5 linked regions of the Canis lupus familiaris genome follow. The protein of the gene in region 3 purifies or fractionates together with the protein of the main gene of each other region. This does not show direct contact. Links are inferred from orthologs where the notes say so. Each region holds a gene or a part of one and is shown on either strand. Other genes may lie near its edges. The genes, in order: FAM117B, FAM53C, DYRK1B, LZTS2 and PTGES3.

Region 1 (5,416 bases), on a different chromosome or scaffold from region 3:
GCTAAATCTCTAACTATGAAGTAATGAATTATTTCTAAACATATATTATCTTTCAGTGTGCTTATCACTTACCACAAAGATCAAGTATTTTGCATTCTAGAGGAAGTAAAGAGACAGCAAGGAAGTAACAACTGACAATATTATATATCTTGCTACTTAACACACCCATTTTTCTATACATTTGTGAAAAAGAATATACTATCTTTAAATTATTTCAGGTGAGAAGTGTCTGAAAAGAAAATCCGAAATGAGGCAACAACATTCATAAAAGCACATGGAAAAAAAAACTCTCAAGAACAGACTTTATTTTTAACATAAAAGTTCTATTTTCTTGTGAGGCAGCAGTAAGTGTCAGATACAGGGAATACATAAGTACATAATAACAATATTTATCACCATTGGAAATGCTGTTTTTTGGGGGAGATTTTTGTTAGAAAAACAAAATTTAAAAAAATTGCATTTTCAAAAGATTTACACAGCTTAAACAGATGAAAGATACAGACTTCAAAAAAACATAAATTATATTCTTCAACAGGATTGTATAAACAAAATATTGTTCAGGGCTGCTCTGCTTATCATTAATTTAAGCAGAGTAAAACTTAAACCTTAAAGTGCGAAGTATCCTTAGCTTTTTTAATGCAAATTCAGCACTTCCACTGGTCCAGTTTTGAGACATCAAAATTCCAAGCATTAAGGAATGAATCTTAAGTTAGAATAGTAAGCTGAATTCAGTAATGGCGAGTTTTATTTCCTTTAACAGAAGAAAATCTTGACAACCCAGTCCTAATCTTGGACATACAGAAGGCTAGAAATTCTGCCATTTTTTAAAATATCTCTTTTCCGGTAAAAGCCAGCCATTAAAAAGAAAAGAAAAAAAAAAGGAAAAAAAAAAGCCTTTCTTCTTGCCAGTTATTCCACAGTTAGCAATAGCACCTTCTAAAAGGCTGATTTGGCTTATCATAAGTGTAAGAAATATTTTAAACAAAATGAAGACTCTAGTTCAAAATAATTTTGGCATCCATGCTCATCATATTAACCAAAGAGGCAGAACAGATATTTTAAAAATATAATTGCTAACAAAAGCCATGACAAGTAATAGACTTAGTCATAATCAGAAACAATAAATTTCTATGTTTTCATCATCATAAGGAAGAAATCAAGAGAAATAACTTAAGACAAAGTAAATAATCAGAGAATAGCTCCTTTTGCCAAAATATACATGCCACCTATTTCTTTTACTGCAATGGAAGTAAATTTATTTAAAACTTTAAAAAATTTAAATTATATTCCCATTGAAGCTATTCTAATTTATCTTCTGTACAGTTTTCTACAGAATAGCAAGATAATTATGGAATGTAATTTTAGAAAATATTCTCTTGAAAGTAGATCCATTTTTTTTTTTTTTTTAATCAGCCATCTGTGAACTAAGGGTTAAGCAAAAGAGCTGAATGGACCTATGGTTAATATTTTTTCAAGACTGCAATAAAGCTCATATGCTTAAAAATTAGCCCTTTGGCACTGGCAGTTAGAGTTGTTTGTACCTTGTACCTTTTTGTCTTTCAAATCTCAGGCTCTATTTCTCCCAAACCCGAGGGATATGTTTGGTTGCCATACAATTAATTTACCTGCAAATTCACATTCTCCTTACAACCAAACGTTTAAAAGTTCCACTTATAAGACTATGTAAATTATAACTTTTAAACTTGTTCTCCCATTCTAGTTTTAAATTACTTTAAGGATATAGGACACTCTACAGAAAGATGTGAATTATACAAATATGCACAACAGAGTAAAAGGAAAAACGGTTTATAAAGTGGCATTTTAGTTACAAAATACCCTTGTCATTTACAGGAATGGACAGAAGAAAGTAAGTGTAAGGTAAAGAAAAAACCCACAGATTTAATGGAATTCAAGTAATCCAAAAACTGAGGGTTTTTTTTTTTTTTTTTAGAAACTTGTTTAAACTTCCTCCTCCTACCATTCATACCAACTCACCTGATGAGTTTTACCTTTTCTTCTGCACTTTTGATAGAGCAGTTCTCAGTGGTGAAATGGTAAAGTCAAGACACATAATAACAAATAAGGCAAAGAATCAAGGTTCTTCTCAAAAAACCAACCAACCAGAAAATTTAGACCCTGAATAACTGAGTTTTAGTGATTTAGAAGCCACAATGTACTATAAATCCAAGTAAGCTAGTTTTGGATGGAGAAATTACCAAAATTCATCAGTGCTACCAAGTGAAACCTGACAAACTTATTCTAAGGTCTGAATTTATCTAATTTGCCTAAATACATCTCCATCTTAAACTTCACAGGGCATAATTTTAATTAGTTAGATGTTTTAAAGGTGCATGAATATAAGAAGTCCTTTCAGAAGATTTATTGCTACCACTAGGTTTCCTCTGATGGTATATGTCTGAACAAACTGACGTATTAACCTTCTAAACTGTATCCCTTTTACAAGTATTTAAATTTCTCCCTATATGTATAGGAATATTAAATTATTGCATCATAGGTAGTATATGAAGATCTTAGAAGGATGCTTTTTATCAATTACTGTTTGCTGAAACTCATTTTAAAAAAGAGCTGCTCCTTAATTTCACTACCATATACACAAACATGAAATACTGTTGTCATGTGATACTGGCAGTGACTGTATTAAGATGAGCCTAAACCCAAAACTGTATGGATTTTTCAAAGATTCCTGTTGTTTAATATGCTCCAAAGCTCTCCTGGCCGGTCTTCCCCACTGTGTGGAATGCTGGAGGGAAAACTAGCAAAATCTATAAGCAACATATCTCAGTGCCAACCACCATAAAGAAAATGTCAGTCGCAAGACTCTGTGACTACGGATTGCTATTCAATGGATTACACTCCTGGCAAACTACTAACCCTGACCAAATCCACAAGACAACAACATCACAAAAGCAAAGGAGGAAATCCATGCACAGTTATTTTAGGACCTCTTGGAACTATGATACAGTGATGATAAAGGGAGATCATGTGGCAAGTATTTTGTAAAAAACCAAGGGGGCTCCTTACTCCTAGCTAGCAATCAACACTGGGTAATTTCCTTTTGGCTCACTGACTTTTAAACCAAGTTCCAATGACGGGTGAGAACATATTAAAGCACTTGTTTCCAGACTATAACTTTTCTGACCACATGGTGAAATGTGTACAGGTGTAGTGAAGAAAACAGCAGTTTTACAAGTATTTCACCCAAAGCACAAACTTCTGACACCAAAAAACATAAATCACATAATGTACTAATATTTAATATTGCTTTTTATCTCATTATATATTTGTCCAATGCATTTACCTATCAATTCTTGTTTGGGAGAAGAACATAGTCATGAGATTAAGATTGCTGGGAAAATGTCAACAATCCCTTTGGTCCCAAAGCTGAAAACAGCTGAGAAAAGCACACATCTAGAAAGGGAAACAAGAAACAAGAGGCCACCAAAGAATCTTTGAACATCCTGTTTGCTACGTTTCAGAAAATGTAACATTGGTATTATAAAATAGTCATTTTCATATAAAAGATGGTTCTTGCAGCATCATTCATGTCTCCCTTCAGGAATTAGGTTTGCAGAGATTAGTTTTTTTTTAAAAAAGAAGTTTAATTTGAAAACAAAAAAACAATGATATTGGCCCTCCAAAAGTAAAGAGTGAGACCTTTCTTGTTTCAACCAGTGCTTTAAGAAAAAGCAGGCTAAGCAATGAGGGAGCAAAGCCATCAGAGGGCGCTGCCTTCTTCCAGAAGTCATACTGTGACGTGTCACCCTGGAAAGCTGGAGCATACCACAGCCAACTGGGAGCTCGCGATGCCATCACAATGAAATGATCTGAGGAGGTTCTCAGTTGCCCAGAAAAATGGCCACACAGCCCTGTGACCTATCCTTCAGCTTCCTCAATTGGTTCTGGTGGTGGGAGTAGAGAGGCCGATGGCATGACTGTACTCGTTCCTCGAGAGACTCGGTCTTGCTCTGTGTTTGTGGACAGGGAGGCCACAGCAATAGGCTGCAGCAGAGTGGTTGTCATGCCAGTGGTAACTGTCAGACTGTGACCAGAGCCCTTGAGGGTAAGATCTGGTGTGGGAAGGAGTGGCTTGAGGATGCTGACGAGGCAGAAGGCAGAGCCGCTTTTAGGAATGAAATTCACCTTGTTTTTGTCAGGACAGTAAAAGGCTGGGATTTCGTGAAGCTGTTTTGGCCTAGGCACAGAACAGACAACCCAGAAGTTTTAAGTCACAGAACAATGAAGTTAAGTTCTTTTATTATTTTTTTTCTAAACAGATAACTTAGAGATACATGAATATAAAACTCAGATTATATCAAAAGCTTCAAATGCTCTAGGCCAAATTGGAATTAGACACATAATTCAAAATATATATCTTAGAATGCCAAAAGGACATCATACGTCTTTGCTGCTTTCAATTCCCTGGAGAGCCTCATGCACCATACAGGTGACTCAGGCTGGTGACCACTGCATCTCACTGAGGTCTAAGACACCCATTATAAAGAACTTCCTAAAGCAAAAGAAATTCTACATGTTTAAAGACAAAAATATGTTCCACTTACTACAGTTTTTCCAAAGCCTGTACTATTTTGAAGGGAGAAGGCAAGTCTTTTGCTAAATTCCATGACTGCACGAAAAAACTTTGGTAGGCATGAGTTATCTCTTCAAGTGTGCTTAAAAATCTCTTTGACTGAAACTTTTTTTTTTTTAGTTAACCATGATGGTTTTCTGAGAAACATAACAGAAATGTAAAATCAAAATAAAAATAATGGTGTTCTATGAAAATAAAGATATTAAAAAATTAAATTGTTAAAGTAACATGGAAGTGCCACAAAATTAAAAAGAAATTAAGGTGGGAGAGCCTAAGTAAATCAAGATTCAAGTGGGAAAAGGCAATATGATTCAAGATTCAAGTGGGAAAAGGCAGTATGATTATATGATAAAAGTACGGTGCTCAGCTCTCCTAATGAAATTCAAAAAATTAAAATTTAAGTGTGCCAAGTCTGCAACAGATTCTGGGGACCCAAAAATGAAACAATCTACAAGAAGATAGATTAACCATGTAGTTCATGGGGGGAGGAAGATACTGGGTATGGAACAAATCCCATTTTTAATGTTTTCTGCACTTCAAACATTAATCACCCAAGTTATGAATTACTTCAAGCATCCCTAATCTTTGCCACACAGCACAAAAAAGGTCAAGAGCTCCTGTAAAGGTCTGATAGATGTGATAAAAATGGCTTATATAAGGTTTAGAGATAGCACAGGGGAGTGGATAACCTGTGGCACAGAGGAAGAGGGAAAATTTGCTAGAAAGAAGGCTTACAAGGGAAGTAATATCTGAAATGAAGATATCAGAAATTATTAACAGACCTGTGGAATGGGTGGGGAAAAAGAA
Region 2 (6,151 bases), on a different chromosome or scaffold from region 3:
GTACCTGCCCCCTTCCTTTTGGGCTGGGTTTGAGCCTTTACTGGGCTTTTCCAGTACAAGTACAATGACTCATATGACACAGGACATGGGTAGAGTAGTAGCAACAAACAGCCTCAGAAAAAAGGGGGAGGGGGTTGTAGAGAAGCAGGAAGACTGGTCTTTTACCAGACTGATGCTGAAGCGTGTGCATTTCAGCTCATCCAGAGTCTGTTTCTGTAGCTGCTCAGTGATCAGGGTTATCATGATTCTCCCCAGGATCTGACTTGCACACTTTGGAGCAAATGATGGATGTCTTCCCTGTCGTTCTTCCAGACCTCACTCGTGGGCCGTCTTCTGCCACTGCAGCACCATCCTAGCACCATTGGGACTTCCCTCTCCAGTCATGCCTGCTGAGTCTGCCAATTACAGAGGGACCAGCCCCAAGTGATATTAGAGATGTACCTGGCCCAAAGGTAGAAAATGCATGGCACACATACCACAGCATCCCTATGCCAGGCCTCTGGCAGACATCATTAATTGATCACAGCTCTTTCCTACTAAGCCTAAACACAGCCTTGGAAACATCCTGAACTTGACACTTTAGTTAACCAGTAAAACGAACTAGAGTAAGCAAGCAAGTTGAGACCTAATTGCCACCCCTAACCTGGTTCATGCTGGGCTTTGCCTACCCAGAGTACCAGCACCACTTAAAAAACAGCTCAAGTGAGAGAGGGATATCCAAATGGTTACTTTCATCCTGATTCCCCCAATACTTTATCTTCCAATCAGAATCAGAGAGGTAACCATTTCCCTAAACTACATTAAAAGGAACAGGGAACAGCAAGGAGAACTGGTTGTAGGAATGACTTTCTGCTTCAGATCAATCAGAGTAAACAAGGTTTTATGTTCTCCCTAAGCTTCAGTGTTTGATATATTATTGTTTTCCAACAGATACTGTAAATATTCTCTCTAAAAGGGTTAAGAAGATAGAGAAATGGTACCAGGATTTTTCCAATTACATTTCAACTCTATACATGTTAAAAACACCAACTGTATGACTTCATTCAACTAAGTTTTTAGCCTGATCTTACTCAAAGACCATGGATTCAATTAATCAAGGCTCCTTCCCATGGTCAAGTTCAGTATAAGCAAACTAATTCCATCAGAGAACAGGCTTCAAGCCCACACAATTGCCTGAGGGGCCTTGCTCAATGGAGGAGGGGAGGATAACCTAGTGTTTCCATATGGTTCCGCCTATTCCCAGAAATGACCAGCAGGCAGACAGCTCATCAGAAGGTGTATGTAGCATTCTCCAGTAGATATAACAAACATTCAAGAAATCTACGTCTTGTGTTAATTTGCTGGGACAGTTCTGGGAAATCACTGGAGTTTTCTTGGCCTTAGTTAACCTACATGTAAAATGGGCAGAATAAATGTCTTAATGTGTCATGGGTACAATATAATGTGAAATATCAAAGTGTAAAAAGCATACCATCTAACCTGCACAAATCAGGAGTCCACATAGACTGTTTCTCAAACTCTCCTGTTTGTTGCTCTACACAGCCTAAGAATGCCACATGTGATAATATCATTAATCTGAAGAGGACAATTGGGTTTATCTATTTGGCTGGATGCCAACCTCCCTCACCTGAACACCCAGGGAAGCCCCAAACAGCTCTTCTGTGACCTTGGAGGTAGAGTACTTTCTACTTTTGCAAAAAGAGGGAATCATCTCTACCCCGTTCCACCTTGGAGAGAAGTAAGTAAAGAAAAGCAAAGAACTACGTGTTGATGTATCTGCAGTTTTTTGGAAGCTGTGGGAGAAATCAACCATCATTACAGTTAACTATCATTTTCATGCATAATTATTATTACCACCCTCAAAGAAGTTCTAGCTTCCTGAGAGCTCCCTTCAGCGGCTTCCCCTATGATCTTGTGGGAAAAGCTAAAGCTTATATCACATTGCTCTTGGTTTCTTAACTCTGCCCCCAAAAGATCAACTAGAGAGGGACCCTAACTGCAGGCTTTTACCCCAGAGATCCCAGGCCTCAGGCTCACCAGCCATGAAGAGCAGGGAGTGAAGCAAAGTCTTTCAAGCTTTTCATGAGGCATTTGGCCAAACAGCAAACTCCCAGCCCTCTCTGGGATCAAGTGAAGAGAGTGATTTTGTGTTTTTCTGCATTTTAATTGTTGGGATGTGGCCACACACGGCGGTAATTGGAACAATGCAACTACCACCACGCAACTGATACTCTCAGCCTGAGTTTCCTAAAACAGGCCAGGCTGAGAGGGGGAACAGAACGGAAGCCATAAGGAATCAAACCAGGACACAAAAGAAGGCAAACCAGCTCCGCGAGGGGCCTCCTCTTTCTCAGGCAGGCATAGAAAAAAGTGTAAGAAACCCTCTCTTGCCGCCTTCCTTCCCCTTCCATTTTGTGTATCTGAGGGGCAGAGACAGCCCTGAATGTTCACTAAACAAGTTAAAACTTCTCAGCTTAACAACTGGCACAGGGCTCAGCCCTTCACAGAGCAGCAGGCCGCTAGGCCCTCCCTACGACCCCACCAGGCCCAACTCTCAATCCAGGCTTTCCCTCCACCAACAGCCCCCTAAAATAAAGACTGGACCCCCACCCCATCTACTATTGGATGGTAGTAACCCCTGACGTTGGGGTTTCAGGGATGCTAAGGTTGTGCTGAAACCTGGAGAACCCAGGATCAAATCAAGCCAAGAGGGAGGAGAGTCACAAATCCCCTGGGGACCCTCCCCCCAGGTCCCAGCCCCACACCTCTGGGGGACACTAAAGAAAAACATGAGGGAGGCAGGGAGGTACATGAACAGGTAAGTGGGGAACTGACTGCTCTTCCTCCATATGGCTCTGGCGGGGATAGGGGTGACAAGTGGGGAGCACCCCTCCCCCCACCCCGATGAAGAAGCAAAAGGCTAGGCCCCCCTCCAGTCTTCAACCTCTCCCTCGGTTGCCCTGCCTGTCCCCGCGGGGTGGGGCATGGGGCGTCCGCTAGCCCCTAGGGGGGCACCAGGGCTCGCTCAGGGGGGCTGTCTTTCGCCTCTTCCCAATCAGCTTCCATCATCTGGCCGCGGGAAGCGAACTCAGGACGCAGGAGATGGAAAGGGTCTGGGACTTAGCACTCCACCAACCCCTCCCCCACCGGGTCCCGTGCTCTCCCCGTGGAGGCGTCCAGAGAGGCCGTGCCGCGCGCGCCGCCGGGCTGGGGGAAGGGAAAGAGGGAAGGAGGGAGGGACAGTCGAGGTGCCCGCCCCGAGGCCCCAGCGCCACCTGCCCTCGCCACCTACCGCGGCTCCTCCAGCTCCCTGGGCCGCGGCCGGAGCAGCTCTGAGCGCTCCGTTCGCCCCACGGTGCCCTTAAAAGGCGCCGGCGCGAACCAACGGGCCCCGAAGGAGAGTGGGGGAATCGCTCTGGTTCGCAGAATCGCCCTGAACCGCCCGGGGAGGCTCGAACCCCGCGTCGCTTCTCTCCCAAAATCTTTTTTGGAAAGTGCTGTCGGGAATGAGCCAAGCTCTTTGATTTAGGGATGAAGGTGGCTTCTTCACTATCGAGTCACCCCCTCCAAAATATTGCTGAAGGTGGACGGACCCAGTTGGCGGCACAGCTCCAAACCCGCGGGGGAGACCGTGTCGGACGAAGGTAAACAAAGCGATTCTCCTCGCCCTCCATTCCAACATTGGCCCTAGTACGGCCCCCTACCCGGTTCGGGCCGCGTAACAGAAATAGCCAGAGTTGCTCTTACCTGCTCTCTCCTCCCGCCCTCTACGGGCACCTCTCAGAAGGAATCCCCCTTCCGCCAGCAGAGGACCGGCCCGCGGCGTGAAGACTTCTGGGAAATGTAGTCCAAGAGCCGATCAGGGCCTGCTCTGAGTCCCGGGAGCCCCTCTTCCAGCTGCCGGATACCCTCCAACCTTATAAACCCAGGACTTGTAACGGTTGCGGGGCCGTTCCCAATTGATTCTGTAATTAGCCCTCACCCAAAACACTTTGTAAAGCTGAAAAGGGCCCAGGGCTGCTCACTCCTCCTCCTTCCTCTACGCACCCCCACCCCCCAGCAGGATGAGGTAATGGGGTTGTGATTATGACATCATAGGCGGTTCAGTTGCTTGCGGGGGTGGGCGGGGGAGGGGGGGGAGTATGGTGGTTACAGCTGGACCACTTTCCTTAAGACAGAAAGGGAGGGAGGAAGGAAACAGGCAGCTGGGTAAAAGATGTTGATAGCTTTGTATTTCCTCTTCAGGAAGAGGATGCCACCCTTTATTAAATTTCCACCACTACCATCACCTCCCACCTCAGCCAAAGTTTAAGTCTTTTTTGAGAAGCCTGAATGTAGACGTTAGTAGGGAGGAGGTTGGGGAACAGCAAAATGGTTACTGGCTCTTATGTAAATTTGAGGCTCAGCTATCAAAGAAGGTTTAGAAAAGCAGGCAGAAATGGAAAAAGAAGTTTTAAACAATGCTTTCGTGTTGTGATCTCTTTGTAGGGCAGTTTTAGATTTTTTTTTTTTTAATCCATTGGGAAGTAGCAGTAATGCAGGTAATCTTTACTGTTACACTTAGCAACACGTCCCTTGAAAGACATATGCTTTCTCTAAATATTTTGTGCCTCATTCAAATCTGGGACAGGTATGTAACTGTGATCAGCTAGAAAGTAGAACCAGTGGTGTTCTTCCTCATAGAGCCAGGGAAAGGAGTAGGCAGGAGGTACCAAGTCTGCAAACTGAAAAAGAAGAGTAGAGGCAGAGTGAGCTACTTATGAAGAAAATGGGGGTGGAAGGAAGATGCACTGCACATTTCCTTTCCTTGCACATTTCTCCTTGGCAAAAGAGGGGACAGGGGCCATGAAGTGGGGAGACCTAGTTTCCAATAATTGCTGTTGTGGAGCACTTATTATGTGCCAGGCACCGTGCTACATACTTTAATATGTATTCTTATTTTTTGCTTAGAATCATCAAATGAGACAAATCTCCCTATTTGACAGTTGAAATGGTTGGAGAGATGAAGTGATTGTCCATGTGGTGGACAAAGGTAATATTATAAAGCAGTCCTGAGGCTCTAAAGCCCTTGGTCTTCATTCCACTTGGTAATCCTTGTTTTTATTATCAACCATACTTTATTAAAGTTCAGTGACTGAGAATAAGAAGTAAAGTTAGCATTGGCTCATTTGCAAAATATTGAAATAAAAGGAGACATTAAAAAAGCCATATCAGGTTTCAAGGCCTCAATTCCAAGAAATATTGTACTCCTTTCATCAAGTATAAAATAACCCCCAATGCAGCCCAATTTCCCACCATTGTTAACTACAATTAAATGTCCTTATGCCACCTTTTTCTTAGATATTTTAATTCATGTCCTATTTTTTCTTGCTGCCCAATTTTTCTTCTTTTGTTTTTCGACTACTACCTTGAATCCCATCCTAATTGTTACCTTGTGGGCCAGACCCTACTCTAACCCTGCTCCAATGGGTTTTAGAAAAGGATACTACCTGGGCTCCCTTCTGGTCTTCATTCAGATTCACTGATGGTTCCAGGGCCTGGAACCAGTCATCCAGGAGGTCATCCGTAGGTGTGGAACCCATTGGCTCTAAGAGATGCTCCATTCCCTGGCTGGGAAAGTGGCAGAGTCAGAGGAATATGCACCTCTTTCAGACTATCCCTTTTCAGCCAGAAAAAGCTAAACCTCTGCAAAGTGAGGAGAGGTAGGGCTCAGTCCACCACTCCTAACAAGGAACCAAGAATAATACACACACCCCTCGGACCTCCTGCCTTTCGGGGGCTGGCTGGGGGGATCCCAGGAATGCAGGGCTCTTCTCCACTGCCTGATCTGGGCATCCCAGGAGCGGCGGCTGTACCTCCTCTTCTTGTTTGGTGTTTGAGGGTGAAGTCCTGGCTGTCGCTTTGCCCTGGCGATGGCAAATAAGTGTCAGACTCAGGCCAAAATAAAGGGGCACAGTGCATTGTTTATCACAGTGAATTCAGAGATTCATTAGGGATTTCCTGAGAGTAAGGTAAGACCAGTGTCCTCAATTCAATGGGAAAAAAATAAATCTTCAGATGGGATTAAGCACTGAACTTTCTAAATTTCTAATATTCTTCTGAGAAAGGTAATTTAGATAAACTCACTCCCCTAGAAGTCAAGATAGATATA
Region 3 (5,921 bases):
GCCTTTGCCGATGAGTGAGTCAATCTCATAGCGCTCCAGCCAGCGCTCGCCACTGCGCACAATGTAGTCATGGTTGTCATCGTCGTAACCATGGTTCAGGACCTTCTTCTCCTTCTTGGTGCTCGAGTCCTGAGGTGGCGCCTGCTGGGCCCGCCGCTTCTTCTTCGCATAGTATACCTGCCCAGCCAGCCAGAAGATAAGGATTGCTGAGTGCCCTGTGCCAGCTGCCAGGACCCCTCAGCACCTGGTTGGGTCCCCCGCCCACCTCATTGATGTGCTTGTAGGTCTTGATGAGGTCCACGGAGAGCTTGCGCAGCGGGGCTGAGGTCGCGTCCCGGAAGGCCAGGGGCAGCCTCCGTGGCAACAGCCGCACATCAGGCAATACCTGCGGGGTGAGGCAGGGCGGGGGGGGGGGGGGGGGTGCGGCATGGCACTGAGGATAGGCCTTTACCTCTAACAGACAACCTTAGGGAGAACTCTCTGGGTGGCCGGGTCATTGTCACCATATACACATTTTACTTGATCACTGTGTGACAACCCAACAGGAACAGAAATTCCCCAAGGGCAGAGACTGTCTTGTTCTTGCTGTATCTGCAGTGCCAAGTAGCGTTTGGCACATAGTGGGTGGTCATCAGAGATTTGCTGAGTGAATGAATGGTGAACTATTTTCTCCTGACCTTTCATCCTACACCTTTACTCCTTTCTGAACCTCCGTGGGAGAGATCAGATAGAAAACATAGGCTCTGCCCTTCCCAGTCCACCATCATTCTGGGTGTCCCATCTTGAGGGCTGCCATCTTGCTTTACCCTTATCCTGTGGTATCTTCCTATCCTTCACCCCCAACTCTGCACATTTTGCCCCAGTCTTTTGGGAGCCAGCACCTTGGCACCTCCTACTCCATCCTGCTTCAAGCTCTACATTTCAGAGCCCTGACAGTCTCCACCCCTGAATATCTTTACTCTGTAGTGTAAGATGCTGCTGGCTCCAGGATCCTTTGGACTCAGACTTCTCCCCCTTGCACCCCAACTGCCCATCTTTCACTCTGGACCTTTTTTCCTTAGTGAACATTTACTGGGTGTTTCCTAGGTGCCAGGCACTATTCTCAGCATTTTACATGCATTTCATTAACTTGCTTAACCTCACAACTATCCTGCGAGGTAGTTATCATTCTTGGCTTCATTTTAAGAGAAAGAAAACTGAAGCAGGTAGAACCTAAGTAATTTAACCCTGTGTCAGGATTTGAACCCAGGCTATCCAAACAGTCTCTGCCACCAACTTCTCTATTATCTTCCACTCCAGATGGGCTTTTCATGGCCCCAGGAGACTGCTCTGGGCAACCAAATAATCTTTTGGCCCCAAGACCCTTCTATCCCCAGCCTCCCCCTACCCCAGGCATGTGAGGAGCCAGCTGAACGCATACCTGCGTGTGCTCCTGGGGCCCCGGGAAGCCAGAGAAGGGACCATGGCCCGGTGGGACGGCCATGGTGGGCTCAGAGGGCCGCAGGGGAGCGAGGCCTGGAGCGGGAGCCCGGCCGGGGGGCGCCTTCTCGCATCCTGCACCTCGGCTGCCACCGCCGCTGAGACCTGAGAGCAGGCGGGAGGCAGGGGAACAACATGGAACAAGAAGATGTGTGGGACAGGGACAGGTGGGAAAGAGGTGGACACCAGAGAGAAGGTAGGGCATAGGGAGAGGAGAAAAAGGACAACAGGTGGCAATGAAGAAAGGGGACAGTGAAAAATGGTGGGGTGGGGGTGGGGGCACAGCAGAGTCCCTCAACAAATGATTACCAAATAAATGAAGTAGGTGGCACAAAGAGGGGAACATGTGAAAGGGAATGATTGGAAGCCAGGCAGGGATAAAGGCCATGACAAGAAAGGACAAAAAGACACCAATAATTGGGGTGAGAAAGAGAAGAAAGATAGAAACCACAGACAGTATAGGTTTGCTTCCCATTTCTATTTATGGCCCTCCCCAGGGCCCCCTCACACCAGATCCTGCCCTCCTGCAGTCTTCCCTGATTGTCAGGATCACCTCTTATCACAGCAAGGTCCTTTCACTTCAAGATCTACCCTTCCCAGTAGATCCTAGAGAAGTCTAGGATTCCCCTCCCCCCAAACCACAAGAGAACTCTGGGCCCCCTCCACACCCATAGCAGAGTCTTCTGCAGGCCCCTAAAACCACATCAGGGTCCTGGAGAGCATACCAAGGTTACCCTGTTATACAGAGTTGTCCCTATATAAAAAATTCCTACCCCTATGGCATTCTCATCCATCAGGGCACCCCCTTCCCAGGGGACCCTCCCCATATCATGCCAAGACCTTATCCTTATACCATTTCCTCTCACATCAGGGACCCTCCCCACCAGATAGTTTCTTTGTGCCACAAAAGGGCTCTTCCCCATATTAGTCCGTGGTCCCCCTCCCAATCAAGGCTCACTTCTTCTGATGGGAGCAAGGAGGAGCCGTCTCTTCCCTCGCCCTTCTCTCCCCTACACTGTATCTTTCCCTCCTCCCCCCATCCAATATTCCTACCAGGGCTCTTTCTCCAGTTACTCCTCTCTACACCAGGGTCAATCCACACCTGTGCCATTCCTAGAAGGCCCCCAGAAACCAAAATCCCCGAATATCACATAGAGTTCTCCCCTCCCAGAGTACCTGCCACACCAAAATCCTCTCCCCACAGGCCTTCTCCCATGTCAATCCCTTTCTCCTATGCCAAGCCTTGCCACTCCACGATCCCTCCTCTCTCTCGGAGCTCCCCCGCCCCTCACCCGAAACAACCTCTTCCCTGGGGCCCTCCCACAGCAGGACCGTCTCTCCCAGCACCCACCCCCTACCCGGGTCAGGGCTGGCGCGGGGCCCACGGGGGGCTGGGGCGCGGTGGGGCCCCCAGTGGGGTGGGCGAGCGGCCAGCATGGCGGCGGTGGCGGCAGAGAGGAGACGGCCGCCTGTCCCGGCCCGGCCGGCCCGGCAAGCCCCGCGGCGGGGAGGGCAAGCGGGACAGGCGGCCGGGTGGGTGACAACAGCAGCCGCCGCCGCCGGGGGCGGGGAGAGGAGGGAACGAGGGTCAGCCCGGGGCACGCGGGGGAAGGGGAAAGCAGGTGGACGGGGGAGGGGCGGGTTAACCCTCGCCCCGCCGGCCCCGCCCCGCGCAGCCACCCGCCCCTGGGGACCCAGGCGTCCCGCCCCCCACCCTGGAGGCCCGCCCCGGTCGGCGGAGCCCGGCGGGCGGGGCCGGCCTGAGCTTGGCAGTCCGCACCTGCCATGGCAACAACCGTGCCATTGGCCGCTGCTGCCAAGAGCTCAGCCAATCGCAGCTCAGAACAGCTGTTGCTAGGCGACGACGATGCAGCCGGAGGAGCCGAGCCCAAACAAAGGGCGGGAGCCGGGCCCCGCTACCCCCTCCCAGCCGCCCTCCCAAGGCTGCTCCCTCGGGCTCGGCCACTTCCTAGAATCCGACTATGAATAGCCAGGCACGGCCTGCACCTGCCCGCCGCCCCCCTGCTCTGCTCCCTCGGCCTCGTGCTAAGTCTCGCGGCGACGCGGGCAGGGCGGGCCCGTACTGCCCCCTCCCCGCGAGCTCGTGCCGCCCCACCTGTAGCCGCGTTGTTACCTGAGGGCGCGGGCAAGGGGACTCAAGCTGCTCGGGAAGCCCGAGCTCAGACCTGCCCACTGGCTGAAGGTATCCGACGGACGCGGCGAGCCAGGGCCCGATTACCCAGTAATGCAACCAGCAAAATGGCGACCACAACAAACCGGCCCCCCCCGCCCCGGGCTCCGCCCCCACCCCCCCCATTCGCTTCCCCCACGTGACCCAAGGTAACATTCTGCGCCTGCGCGCAGCAGGGTCTACCGGCAGACATGCACCGTAAGCTATCAGCCCCGCCCAGGCGCCGGAAGCCGGGTTACGGCTGCGCAAAAAGCAGCCAAGGGAGAAGCATGCGCACGAGGGACCGGATGAGCTGGTCCACCCCCACCACCGCGCCAGTTGAAAAACGGCGCATGCGCACCGTTGAACGGAGGTCTCTGATCAGCATACAGGAGCGATGATGAATTTTTTTTTTTTCCTAAATAGGTTTCACGCCCAAGGAGCCCAAGGCCGGGTTGAATTCACGACCCTAAGGTCAAAACCTAAGCTGAGATCAAGAGGCCCAGGCTTAAGTGACAGAGCCACCCAGGTGCCCCTGGATGAGTCTTTTAATAGAAAAACACGTGTAACAGTAGCAACACAAATCTCTGGTAATCCAGATGGCGCCGGGCTTCAATTCTTCACCTTGGGAGGTGGCCTGTGAGAGGAAGGAGATAGAAGATTCAGAGCTTGTCACCATTTGGGGCACTCCTTCCAAGTGCTGACTGGCAGGGCTCTGTCCAGGTGGGCTGCCGGCCCCTGCTCACCTGTACACACCCACCACTACAGCGTGGTCTCTTTCGTAGGGCTCTAAGGTCAATTGCTCTTGGGGCTTCATGTTCTCCTGCTGCATCTTCTTCACCTCAGAGGCAAACACAGCCTCAGCAGAGGCTGTGGAGTCAATGCAGTTGGCCTGCAGAAGAATTTGAATTTTATAAGCAAAGCACTGGACTGTTTTCCTTTTTGTTGCTCTTTAAAAAAAAAAAAAAAAAAAGATTTTTTTTTAAATTATTGGAAACTCAGTGAAACTCAGGTTTTGGAAATGTAGGGAAAGACTTCATTAGAGAAGTTTTCAATTTGGTTTGGATTTGGAACAGGAAGGCTTCAACAGAGACTGTCTTAAAGCTGGTGTTTAAATTTTACACCCAGGTTTTTGTGTTTGTTTTTTCTACTTCCTCTTCTTTAACAATAGTAACAATGCTGAGAATACTGAAACAAATGGAGCAAAAGGCTAACAAATGGTGAATCTGGCTGAAGATCTTTTTTTTTTTTTTAAAACAAACACATCTTAGGGACACTTTATTGACCTGATGGTGTTTTGTTTTGTTTTGTTTTTTTTAATTTTTATTTATTTATGATAGTCACACAGAGAGAGAGAGAGAGAGAGGCAGAGACACAGGCAGAGGGAGAAGCAGGCTCCATGCACCGGGAGCCCGACGTGGGATTCGATCCCGGGTCTCCAGGATCGCGCCCTGGGCCAAAGGCAGGCGCTAAACCGCTGCGCCACCCAGGGATCCCTGGCTGAAGATCTTTAAATAAAACGTTTTTGAAAATGCATCTAGTATTCATCTAAAATTTTATACAAGGCTCTAGTCTAAACACTTTATATTGATAAATTTAATCATTGCATCAACACTAAAAGAGATACGACTAATATTCCTACTTGACAAGTAAAACAAACACAGGTTGGGTAACTTGCTCAGAGAACAAGCTGGAATTCAAACTTAAATGGTCAAGGGCAGCCGGGGTGGCTCAGAGGTTTAGTGCTGCCTTCAGCCTGCAGCGTGATCTTGGAGACCTGGGATCGAGTCCCACGTCAGGCTCCCAGCATGAAGCCTGCTTCTCCCTCTGCCTGTGTCTCTGCCTCTCTCTCTCTCTGTGTCTTGTGATAAATAAAATCTTTAAAAACAAAAAACCTTAAATGGTCAGACTCGGCCATCATGGACTTGACCACTACATTCTATTGGCTATTTAAACTCAAAGCCTTTTAGTTTTGTAGACATTTTTCACCAAGTGCTATTTGACAGGGCAGGGAAATGCAGGGTAGAGCCTGGGAATAGACTAGACTAGGAGAATGGAGGCCCTGGCCCCTTTGTTTTGACTAGCTGCTTGGCAGTTACAGAGAAAATACTACCACCCCATCTTAGACTCCTCCAAGCCCCGCACCTTAATGGAAATCACAAAGTGTCCTCCGTTACGAAGGAAGGTGTGGGCATTCAGGGCTACAATCCGGGTCTGGTCTGGCTGGGCCACGTCGGCAAAGATCACGTCCACCATTGCTAGGGAGAAATAA
Region 4 (5,941 bases), on a different chromosome or scaffold from region 3:
TAGGAACAAGGAAGTGAGTGTGCACAAGTGTGTACAGAGGAGTGTGTGTGAACAGAGCATGTGTGAGAGTGGGTGGGAGCCTGGGTGGCAAGCAGGGCCAACTGGGTGAGCAGGAGCCTGGTTCTTGTCACTTACTGGAGTGCGGGGAAAGGAGAGACACATTATCTGACTCCTTTGCCTGTCCCCCTTTACTCTCACTTGGATTCCACCAGGCCCACCCTCCACCTCCCCACTCAAGTCAAAGGACCCTGAAACCAGGAAGGCGTCCAGACTGAGGGTTGAGGAGCTGGGGGGGTGGGAGCTGGGGGTGAACAGAGCCCACCCACCAAATGCCAGCCTTGAGCTAAGCAGATGGCACATCCCCTCTGCTGCCCTCTTCCACACCACTCCAGGGCATGGAGAAAGCTGGGGGGAAGGGGCTTCCTGGGGGCAGTGGAGGCTGGCACCTCTGCATTTGCCCACTTCAGTGAGCACCAAGAAAGTGAGAAGTAAGGGGAGGAGACAGACACTCAGAGAAAGACAGGGACCCAAAAGACCAGAGACAAAGGCTCAGAGAGGCCCTGGGGTCAGGCAGACAAGGAGGCAGGCTGACCCAGGGACTGGGTCCCTGAATCCCACGGAGCCAGGGGCCCCTAAACCCACAAGAGAGATAAATACTGGGCCCTGAGAGCCAGACACACAGGGAGCCAGAGCCAGGCCTCTGGAAAGGCAGGCCCAGCCGGCCAGGCTCCAAGAGCGGGAGCCTGAGAGAGAAGGAGGGGCAAGTGGAGGCTCCATTTTGAGAAATGCGCTGTGGCTCTGGGAAAGGGAACCCCTGGCCCTCCCCAGCACCCCCCGAGTGGTCACGGGGGCCCAGCACACACACGCACTCCCCCTTGGTGGGCCCGGGGGCAGCTGGGGGCAGCTGGGCGCTGGGTGCTGCTGGGGCCCGCGCAGGTCTGGCCAAGCTGAACTCCCACAGACCTGTTTTGGGGGGTGAAGAGTTGGGGAAAGTCTCCCCCACCAAACTCCAAGGACCAGTCAGGCGGGATCAAGTCCGGGATGACGAGTTCCCATTCCCCCAGGAAGCCGGGACCCCCAACGCCCCCTCCGGGCCTCCCCCCTCTCCCCGCTCCTCCGCCTCCCCACCGGCCCTCCGCCGCGCCGAAGTTGGGGGCGCCCCCGGGTCGCCTCCCAGCCCTGGCCCCCCCTCACCTCCGCCGCGCCGCTCCATGCTCGGCCCGGGCCGCCCCCAGCGCTCCACAGGCGCGCCGCCCGGCTCCGGCCCGCGCGCGGCCACTCGGAGGCGCCCGGCCCGGCCCGGCCCGGCCCCGCCTCCGCGGCGCCCCCGGCCCGACCGGCCCCCGTCCGGCCCGAGTGGGCGGCGCAGCGCGGGGGAGGGGTCCGAGGGGCGTCCCCGCCCCGGCGCGGACACGCGCAGCACCCCGCGTCACGCGGGGCCGCGCCGCGGGCCTCGGGACCCCCCACGCCCGGTGGGCTCGGGGACTCGGCGGCGGCGGCGGGTCACCCTCCACCCCTACCCGGGCCCCGGGGCCAGCGGCAGCTGGTCATTGTTCCAGCACAAAGGGCCCGGCGCCACGGCGGCCGCCCTTCCCCCTCCGCTCCTCCGGTCGAAGCCTCCCCCGCAAGACACACTCCGGCTTCGGAGTCCCGAGCGGGGCGCGGAGGGCCGGCCCCCCCACCCGCCCCGGCCGCCGGGCCCCTGCTCCCCAGGGCCGGGTCGCGGACCCGGGCTCGGGCCGTGCCTGCCCCACCCCCAGCGGTGGAGGGAGGCAGATTCGGATTTGCGGAGGCGGCGCCACCAGGCGGCGCGTTCGCAGGATACACCGCCACCCCAGCAACTTTGGGGGCCCCTACCGGACTGCCCAGCACTGTAGCCTGCCCCCCGCGAGCCCAGGCCTGCCTCGCGCGCGGCCGTCTGCTCCCCAACCTTCCCTGAGAATCATTTGCTAAGAGAGGTCACTGCTGGGAGAGAGGCAGCCCCTGGCCCCCTGACAATCACTGGGGTGAGGCGGTCCAAACCTACAGTCAGAACCTACACCAGTCCCACAGCTGACAACATCCCTCGGTCTTCTCAGGGTCACAGAGAGTCTCACCCTCTCGCAAACAACACAATCTTCCTAACACCCACACGACTTTTCCCACATTCGGTCCCACGCAGCCACAATCACAGTCTCCTCCATCACGTGATTCCAGGTTCCTTCCTTCCATAATCTTTCAGGCCAACTTACACACAGACACACTGGGTGTCACACACCTTGTGCACAATCTTTCACAAGGACTCAGAGTCCTTCCTACCGAGTCACAATCTTAAATGGGCTTCCTCTCCTAAACATCTTTAACACATTGGTGGTCTCATTCAGTCAGACAACTTACACATACCCATGGTGTTTCACGAGCATTTTTTACCACAAAGACTTTTTTCCCCCCTGAGGGGTCTCTGGTCAGGTCAGCTGATGCCCACACCCCCAGCCAAGGACAGGCCTCCCACCCCCTACTTGCATCCCCACCCCCAAGGCCAAGGCCTGCCAGAGCTCCTCTGCCCCAGGAAGGAGCATCCCCCCCTTCCAGGCCACAGCCCTGGCCAGCTCTCAGCTCTATTTTTAGCTCTATGGAAAGGGTTGTTTTTCTTTCTTTTTCCCTGGAAAGGGAGGCATAGCCCAACCACCCTCAGGCTCACCCCAGACCCTGAGCCACATAAGAATAGACTGAGCCCCCCTCCCCAGTAGAGACCCCCTCCTCTGGCCTTGCCCTGATCCCAGCCTCTTGGGGCACCAGGAGCCTCCTCCCCTTTCTGGCAGCCAGCCCGGAAGCTCAGGCAGCAGCTGGGCTCAGCGTGTGTGTAGGGGTGGAGGGTGGGGCAGAGAGGGAGGCGAGGGCCGCTGCCCACTCCCTCATTCCCTGGGGGAGGGGGCTCATCCTCCCTTCTAGGGGAGGGGGATAGGCCCACTCCCGTACTTCGAGGACATTTACCTTTATGCATTCTCTGGGAAAGGAGGACTCCCACTCTCGCACGAGTGGGTTTTCGGCTCCTACAGTTGAAGGGAGGAGCTCCCAGTTCTGCAAGGAGGGGTGGTGGTAGGAAAGGGACCCACCGGCTCTCAGGCAGCTGCTCCCCAGACTGGAGGTATGGGGCCGGAGCTGCCGTATACTGCCACCCGAAATAGCGCCCTCCTCCGATACCTTCCGGGATGAGGGCCCCACGAACGTGTTCGTTCGGGTGAAGGAAGGCAAGGAGCCCAGGTAACCCCACCGAGCCCAAGAGTCTCCAGGCCTGCGCTACCCGGACTCCAGGGGGCGTTGTGCTCCCATTTCAGGGGGAAGGCTTAACATTTCTTGAGGCGGAGAATGGAATACGGCCCGACAGGAGACCTCGGAGACTCGCCCAGGGTTGGGGAGGGAGGTCCTCGCCCTGATGCGGGGGCGAGGGAAGCACAGCCCACTCGTCTGCGAAGCGATCACGTGCTCGGCGCCTGTTTACGTCTTAGTCTTCACCTGTGGGCGGCCAGGAAGCAGGAACCTCCGGAGGTGTCCCACCCGGCCCGCCCCCGTCGGCGGTCACCGGGCAGCCCCTTCTCCCACCCCTGCCAAGTACGGGACAGCAGAGCACCCTGTCAGCTGGGGCTCCGTGCGGGCCAGTGGCGCCGCTCCAGGGACTGCAAGGGTAACCCACTGGGCGCGTCCTCTCCTGAGTGCACGTGTGTCCTATGTGCGTGGGTCTCGGCGCGCGCGCGTGTGCACCCACTGGCGTGAGTTTCCGTGTCGGTTCCCTGTTCAGGCTCCTCGCCTGCGGGCCCCCCGGACCCCAGTGTGGGACCCTCTCCTCACTCCACCCCCTAGCTTCCCCAGACCGGGAAAGTTCGCTCCCGACCCGGCATGTGCGGGAGGCCGGAGTGCCCACACCTCCGCGGCCCCACCACTCACCCAGGCCACCTGCGCCGCCGCTGCCGCTGCCGCTGCCGCTCCCGCCCAGCTCCTGCCCGAGCGCCGGCACCTCTCCGCCGCAGATCTGCCGGCTCCCAGCCAGCTCCGGGCTCCGGACTCCCGGCGCCCGCCGGGCCCGGCCTGGTGGAACGGGGCGGGGCGGGGCGGCTGAGGCCGCGCCCCCGACCCAGGGAGGGGAGTGGTCTGCCCAGCACCCCCTCTACGGCGGACCCGGTACCCAGCCCAGCAGTAGCTCGGTGGTGGCCAGGTTGCCCCTCTGGCCTCCGACTTCACAGCTTTCTGGATTTGGTTTTCGACTTGGGGAAAGGGGCGAACAGCACGTGACCGGGAGCTAAACTACCTGGCCGGCCTAACCAAGTTGACGATAGGACTTTACTGCCACCTGCCCTACCCTGTAAGGAGCCAAACCGGGTCGGCTCTCAGCTCATTCCCCAGGAACAAGGAAAACCCCTAGGAAGCAGACAAAGAAGGCTCGGGTTTCACTAAAACAGACCCCGCCCCACCCTCTGGTCGGAATTGCCCTAGCAGAGCCAGCCCCTTCCCCCCTCCCCGCAGTAGGTGCCTACCCAGGTGAGCATACTTGCCAGTTCTGGCCCCCCACAGAGCATGGCCAGGCTTCCCTTACACTCATAAAGTTCCACCCACAGGCACAAACAGGAAGTTGCCCTGTATTGCAGGAAGGCACCTAGGGCTCCATCTGTGGCACCCGAGGCAGCCTGTGGGAAGGCACAGACTGTCATCTACAGGTATCTGAGCCTTACTTGCAGCAAGAGTATCTGCACAGGAGGAGTCCAGTGAATTTAATCTCTTCTCCAACTCACCTGCAGTAAAGAAGCGACTGGAAAGCTGAAAAAACGACACTAAATCTGAAGACACGGCTGAAGATCCAGCTGGACCCAGCTGGGCCAGGCCCTTCCTAAACTCTCAGGGTGATTAATATCCGATTGGAAAAAGAGCCCGGGTAATTTGCCTCAATCCACTCTGGTTGGGTACAGGGACAGTGGCTACCAGGGACCTTATTCCGGACCCAGGGATCCCCTACTGCTTTCTAGGCTCCAGGGACTTCTAGACATACTTTTGGCTAATCTTGATGTGAGTTTAAGACAGGTGTGCAATGGAATGTGTGTGTACGGGGTGGGGTTGGGGGAGTGTCAATTTCCCCTCTCCCATCATTCGGATTTGTGCTTTGTGTGTGTGTGTGTGGGGGGGGGATGTCTGCTAGGAGGGTGGAGCAAGACAGGCAAGTGCGTATCTATCCTTCTATCCCCAATTCACAGAGACCTCACAAAAGTCCCCTAATGGAAATAGCTAAAGGATTTTCTGAGAACACACCAGGCCTTCCAGTAGACCAGAATCCTTAGAGGTAGGAATGACCTGGTGGTGTACATCTGGAAGGCATGGCTGACATTCAATGTTACAGACCCTGGATGAGGCATAGACCAGCCAGCGGCTGGGAATGATTACTGCAGGATTAGGAGGCCTGGCTCCAGCCAGTCTGGGAGAGACCCCCAAGAAGGGAGGCCCTGGAGGAACTACCCCCTCCCTCCACCCCAGGTTCTTCCCCCAGAGAACAGCTTTGTTCCAGGGTCTGTTTCAGGAGATAATTGTAGTCAGTCCTCACAACAGACCAGAGACCCCAGAGCCTTCTACAGGGCCCCAGAGGCAGCCCTCTTAGGTAGACCAGAGAATTTAAGGCAGCAGGAAACCTCCTCTGCCCATCCTTACAAAAGCCTTCTCCCCAGCCTCCTCACAACATTTTGCATTCTGACCATTCTTGCATGCAAATCTAAAGGGAAAATGGGACTTTAGGATATCAGAGTAAGTGAGATGGGAAAAGTGTCTCCCTTGGGACTATTTCTGAGTAGGTCTCTAACTTTACAATCTCCTTCAGTAGTTGTTAAAAATGAGGAATTCTGTACCTTTTCTGAGACCTCCAGAATTAAAAATGTCTGTGTGTGTGTTTATTGGGGGGAGAGTAGGCCCTAGGTTCTACATT
Region 5 (5,416 bases), on a different chromosome or scaffold from region 3:
TCTCATGAATAAATAAAATCTTTAAAAATTTTTTTCTGTTCTTAAAAAAGGAAATAGTATTTTAGCACATGGTATTCATTGTTTTGTTTTGTTTTGTTTTGTTTTTTGGTATTCATTGTTCAGGTTATCACGAGCACTTTTTATTTTTTAAAGATTTTATTTATTTATTCATGAGAGAGAGAGAGAGAGGGGCAGAGACCCAGGCAGAAGCAGAAGCAGGCTTCATGCAGGGAGCCTGATGTGGGACTTGATCCCGGGTCTCCAGGATCACGCCCTAGGCTGAAGGTGGTGTTAAACCGCTGAGCCACCCGGGCTGCCCTCTCGAGCACTTCTTAAACATAGGACTATATGGTCACTTCAATTTGAAAATCAAGAACCAGGGCACCTAGGTGGCTCAGTGGTTGAGCATCTGCCATCGGATCAGGTTGCAATCTGGGGGTCCTGGAATCGAGTTCTGAATCGGGCTCCCTGCGGGGAGCCTGCTTCTCCTTTTGACTATGTCTCTGCCTTCTTTTTTTGTCAAGAATAAATAAAATCTTAATAGAAAAGTAAAATAAAATCTTGAAAAAATACATTTAAAAAATCTATGAACCTAAAACCAGTAAGTTTTCATTATTAGCAAATATTTTCTGTTAAAGACCAACAGGTTACCACATATTGAGAGTGCCATTTTGGTAAGAAATGAGCTAAAAATAATGTGACCTATTCATAAAACTCCTAACTTGTTTGTTAGCTGTATTAACATACTGACATTAAAAGTGATTCCTTAGTCCAAAAGAAGTTTGGTTAGACTTCAGATCCATGTAAAAATCTATTTGTTTTTTAAATTTGTTGATAGATGCCTAAAGAAATAGCTTTACCCTTGCTGCTTGGCTAGTATTTAGACTTTGAAAACTGCCATCCATAGTTTTTAACCTCCTTTGGATCTGATATCAATATCCCAGAGTGGAATATGACTAGTCAAGTTTAACAGTTGTGTAAAAACACTGATGAGCACTTGGTTGCAACTTGTTTATTTATAGGGACTTTAAACTGCTACTCCTTAGGGTTGGGAATTTCAGAGCTTTGAAACTAATTCCTTTCGTTTGAGTTTTTATCTTATGTGTAGTGCTAGAACATACGATAATTAAGTTTTTTAACTTCGAGGATTACAGAAGAGTCCAAAAAATTAAAAAAATATAATAATAAAAATTCCTGTATAGCCAGCCTATAACTTTAACTTTTACATTATCACCAGAACATGCTTATTTTTAGGAAATAAGTGAAACCATTGAAAATCATGTGGTTCTGCTTCCTTTCCCTCATTGTCTTTCTGGTTCATTCTATGGAGCAAATGCTGTTCGGGTGTGTATGTGTGTGAATTTTACTAGGAATTTTTATGCATATGAGGATATTTGTCTAAAGATTACAAAGAACAGTTTTGGGGCACTTGGGTGGCTCAGTCAGTTAAGCATCTGCCATTTGCTCAGGTCATGATCCTGGGGTCCTAGGATTGACCACCACATTGGGCTTCCTGCTCAGTGGGGGAGTCTGCTTCTCCCTCCCTCTCCCTCTGTGCCTCCCCCTCCTGCTCTCTCTTGCTCACTTGCTTTCTTATTTATTTGGAAAATAAATAAAGACCTTTTTAAGAGAAAAACTGTAAAGGAACGATTTTTTTTTTAACTTAAGAATTGGGGGTGAGGTTACTTATGGGTGGCTTAGCTGTTGAGTGTCTGCCTTTGGCTCAGGGTGTAATCCCAGAGTGTTGGGATCAAGTCCATGTCAGGCTCCTGCTTCTCCCTCTCCCTATGTCTCTGCCTTCTCTCTGTTTCTCATGAATAAATAAAATCCTTTTTTTAGAATAAGATTTTTTAAAAGATAATAGTCCAGGTTCTTTCCAGTATAGTATCTATTGGATACATGTGTAGAAGAATAGAAGACTGTAAAAAAGCTTAATTCTTTAATGTCATTAAAGTTAGGAAAATTTGTCCCCAGAAAATGGTTGCCTGATATAGTCAGAAATAAGCTACAGATGAGAACTTTTTTGAAAACACTGTCAAAAAAAAAAAAAGAAAGAAAAAAAAGAAAGCACTGTCAATTCTACCATCATCTCCCCTACCCTCTCCCTAGTTCTGGCATTATAAGTAGAAATGTTTCTGAATTTCAGTTGACAGTGGATTAGTTCTGATGGTTTTTTTTGTTTTTGTTTGTTTGTTTTTTAGGAGCAAGACTAAAGGTATATGGCACATAAATTTTGACAGGGCAATGTAATGGTTAACCCTATTGTATGTTGTTTCATTTTATAATTCTTTCCTTTTTTTTTTTTCATTTTTTAATTCTTTCCTATTGTGAAATCAGTATCATTGTGTTTTAACTTGGAATGCAGCTGTTAAAGAGTAAAGATGTAGTTTCCATTTGAAATTATAGTTAACTGCCTCAAGGGACACCTGGGTGGCTCGGTCAGTTAAGTGTCAGGGTCTTTGAAACCAGATTCAGTCTTGATCCTCAGGGTTGGCAGTTCAAGCCCCTATTTAAAATAATAATAATCTGCCTCAAAATAATCAGTGTTCTAGTGGAGTAGAGAAACGTTACTTATATGCCAAACTCTGGAGGTTATGTAAATACTCAGTTAATGAATTCCAGCTTAACTTTGTCTAATTTTATCTCTTTGTAGGCAGCCTGCTTCTGCAAAGTGGTACGATCGAAGGGACTACGTCTTCATTGAATTTTGTGTTGAAGACAGTAAAGATGTTAATGTAAATTTTGAAAAATCCAAACTTACATTCAGGTAAATTACCATTTTACATCATTGGGTAATAAGTTTGTGTCAGACAACTGAGTAACTTTGGCTAGCTTGTTTTGTGTTTTTACTGAAAATAATACTAATCTTTATCTCTTTGAAGAGGCTCATTTTTTTTTTTTTTTTTACACAGTTGTCTTGGAGGAAGTGATAATTTTAAACATTTAAATGAAATTGATCTTTTTCACTGTATTGATCCAAATGTAAGTAGTCTTGATGCTTTAATTCCAATTTATATGTGAGGAAATGGGCATACATCAAGTACTCTTTTTAGCAGTAAGCAGTAATTGTTTTTCTTAATAGTTCAGAGGTTATGGGACGCCTGAGTGGCTCAGGTTGAATGTTGAGTGGCTGCCTCCAGCCCAGGGTGTGATCCTGGAGTCCTGGGATCGAGTCCCACATTGGGCTCCCTGCAAGGAGTCTGCTTCTCCCTCTGTGTCTCTGCCTCTCTCTCTCTCTCTCTCTGTCTCTCATGAATAAATAAATAAAATATAAAAAATAAAAAAGTTCAGAGGTTAACTAGGCGTATTTATATTTTTGCAATATTTCCCTCTGCAACTGCCTCTCTGCATACTCTTTCTTTTGTTCTTGCTATCACTGTTTGGACTTAGGGCAATATTCTTGAGGTTTGTCTTAATCTAACTTTATAGAATCTTTAAATTATTCTATGATTGTATTATATTTGGTTAATTTTTTTTTTTTAATTTTATTTATTTATGATAGTCACACACAGAGAAAGAGAGAGAGGCAGAGACACAGGCAGAGGGAGAAGCAGGCTCCATGCACCGGGAGCCCGACATGGGATTTGATCCCGTGTCTCCAGGATCGTGCCCTGGGCCAAAGGCAGGCGCCAAACCGCTGCGCCACCCAGGGATCCCATATATTTGGTTAATTTTTTTAAGGTTTTTGTTTTATTCACTTTGTACAGGGAGGGAAAAGTTATTTTTTGCAATTTGCATAGCTACTGAATTTTTAGTAATCTAGGAGATGTTTCTTTAAAGTTGAGAAAACGTAGGGAAAGAAATTAGAAAGGAAAGTTGAGGAATGACAAGCTATTTTCTATTCTACAGTGATACTGGAGAGAAATGATGTGATGGTGCTTTTGTTTTTGTTTTCGTTTTTAGGATTCCAAGCATAAAAGAACGGACAGATCAATTTTATGTTGTTTACGAAAAGGTGAATCTGGCCAGTCATGGCCAAGGTTAACAAAAGAAAGGGCAAAGGTATGTTTCTTTTTTGGGAGGGAAAAATTGAACATTTTTAAGTAATGAAAGACACATTTGGCATGAGGAATAAAATGTTTGTTTCAGAGTTAAGTGGTATTAAAGTCTTGTGTTCTATATGTTTTTCCTTTCTTTGAGTTTTATTAGTTTTAACTTAAAACCAAATGTGGTCAGAATAAGGTCAGTCCCTAGTTGATGCAGAATCTTTTGCTGAATTCAAGAGGCAGATTTTTCTTAGGCTGGCTGGCTTTATTTATTTATTTATTTATTTATTTATTTATTTATTTATTATTCATTCATTCATTCATTCATTCATTCATTCATTCATTCATTCATTCTTAGGCTTTATTAGTTACTTATGTATCACATGGGAACATATTTTGTGCTGCAAAAAAAGTCCGTTGTATCTGAGAAGAGTTCCTACCAATGAATTTTGTTGTATTTATTTTTTAAGTAGGCTCCACACCCAGTGTGAAGCCCAGTGTGGGGCTTGAACTCACAACCCTGAGATAAAGACCTGAGCCAAAATCAAGAATCAGAGGCTTAACTGACTGGGCCATTCAGGTGTCCCTCTCCCCCCCCCTTTTTTTAAATTATGATTAAGAACTGTGAGAGAAGCTTTGTGAAACTATCTTGACTATTAATTGCATTTTACTTCATTCTGATTTTTTTGTAATCTATTATTTTTTTTGTTAATTTTTTGTCTTTTTTGTTAATTCCATGCCTCATTAGTATGAACCTACAGTCCCAAAAATATTGTTTAAGGTACATACATACATACCTGTACGTATAAGTTAACCTAATTACAAGATGTTTGTATTGATCTATAGCTTAATTGGCTTAGTGTGGACTTCAATAATTGGAAAGACTGGGAAGATGATTCAGATGAAGACATGTCTAATTTTGATCGTTTCTCTGAGGTAAGTTCCTATAAGCGCATTTTACCACCTCTCAGTACATTTCTATGTGAATTTAATTTGGTTTTAAAGCACCTTAGTGGTACTTAAGACCTAATTTTTTTTTTACTTTAAAGGTCATTCTGCAGCAAAACAAAGTAAGATCTTAACAATGATCATTTTATCCTAAAGTTTAACATTCTTTTATAATTCTTTTAAAAATTAGTGGTAAGTTCTAAACTTGTATACAGACAAAAATAAACCGTATTGTCAATGCAAATATAACTAGTTTTGGGGGGTGGGGTGTTGGTTTGTTTGTTTTTACAGCCAGTTGTTATTCTAGTATTGAAACGGATTTTTTTTTTTTAATTTTATTTATTTAGAGAGAGAGAGAGAGAGAGAGAGAGAATGGCTGGGACACAGGCAGAGGGAGAAGCAGGCTCCATGCAGGGAACCCGACATGGGACGCGATCCCCGGATCTCCAGGATCACACCCCAGGCTGTAGGCGGTGCTAAAC

What was found.
Region 1: the proteins of DYRK1B (region 3) and FAM117B purify together in Homo sapiens (affinity purification with mass spectrometry; 3 studies listed by BioGRID and IntAct, counting the BioPlex papers as one, with this or other methods). This does not show direct contact. The link is inferred for Canis lupus familiaris from reciprocal best matches to the Homo sapiens genes DYRK1B and FAM117B.
Region 2: the proteins of DYRK1B (region 3) and FAM53C purify together in Homo sapiens (affinity purification with mass spectrometry; 3 studies listed by BioGRID and IntAct, counting the BioPlex papers as one, with this or other methods). This does not show direct contact. The link is inferred for Canis lupus familiaris from reciprocal best matches to the Homo sapiens genes DYRK1B and FAM53C.
Region 4: the proteins of DYRK1B (region 3) and LZTS2 purify together in Homo sapiens (affinity purification with mass spectrometry; 3 studies listed by BioGRID and IntAct, counting the BioPlex papers as one, with this or other methods). This does not show direct contact. The link is inferred for Canis lupus familiaris from reciprocal best matches to the Homo sapiens genes DYRK1B and LZTS2.
Region 5: the proteins of DYRK1B (region 3) and PTGES3 purify together in Homo sapiens (affinity purification with mass spectrometry; 3 studies listed by BioGRID and IntAct, with this or other methods). This does not show direct contact. The link is inferred for Canis lupus familiaris from reciprocal best matches to the Homo sapiens genes DYRK1B and PTGES3.

What each region holds. Positions count from the first base shown.
Region 1 is NC_049258.1:11,517,226-11,522,641, reverse strand, and holds the end of FAM117B (protein FAM117B), read right to left. Parts: intron 4,214-5,416; coding exon 3,895-4,213; 3' UTR 3,430-3,894; coding exon of another isoform or gene 3,351-3,429; 3' UTR 289-3,350; downstream 1-288.
Region 2 is NC_049232.1:25,988,281-25,994,431, reverse strand, and holds the start of FAM53C (protein FAM53C), read right to left. Parts: upstream 4,062-6,151; 5' UTR 3,748-4,061; intron 3,645-3,747; exon of another isoform or gene 3,293-3,644; intron 2,819-3,292; exon of another isoform or gene 2,801-2,818; intron 396-2,800; 5' UTR 244-395; coding exon 166-243; intron 1-165. Other genes in the region: SLBP2 (uncharacterized LOC474694), read right to left, coding at 4,596-4,724, 5,490-5,610, 5,754-5,906.
Region 3 is NC_049222.1:114,428,387-114,434,307, reverse strand, and holds the start of DYRK1B (dual specificity tyrosine-phosphorylation-regulated kinase 1B), read right to left. Parts: upstream 3,771-5,921; 5' UTR 3,614-3,770; intron 2,567-3,613; exon of another isoform or gene 2,533-2,566; intron 1,585-2,532; 5' UTR 1,484-1,584; coding exon 1,421-1,483; intron 386-1,420; coding exon 266-385; intron 178-265; coding exon 1-177. Other genes in the region: FBL (rRNA 2'-O-methyltransferase fibrillarin), read right to left, coding at 4,262-4,286, 4,396-4,541, 5,795-5,907.
Region 4 is NC_049249.1:13,868,262-13,874,202, reverse strand, and holds the start of LZTS2 (leucine zipper putative tumor suppressor 2), read right to left. Parts: upstream 4,082-5,941; 5' UTR 3,925-4,081; intron 3,496-3,924; exon of another isoform or gene 2,974-3,495; intron 1,878-2,973; coding exon of another isoform or gene 786-1,877; intron 1-785. Other genes in the region: proline-rich protein HaeIII subfamily 1-like, read left to right, coding at 786-1,877. UniProt on the Homo sapiens protein: Negative regulator of katanin-mediated microtubule severing and release from the centrosome. Required for central spindle formation and the completion of cytokinesis.
Region 5 is NC_049231.1:1,242,575-1,247,990, reverse strand, and holds part of PTGES3 (prostaglandin E synthase 3), read left to right. Parts: intron 1-2,653; coding exon 2,654-2,767; intron 2,768-2,912; coding exon 2,913-2,982; intron 2,983-3,903; coding exon 3,904-4,002; intron 4,003-4,832; coding exon 4,833-4,922; intron 4,923-5,416. UniProt on the Homo sapiens protein: Cytosolic prostaglandin synthase that catalyzes the oxidoreduction of prostaglandin endoperoxide H2 (PGH2) to prostaglandin E2 (PGE2).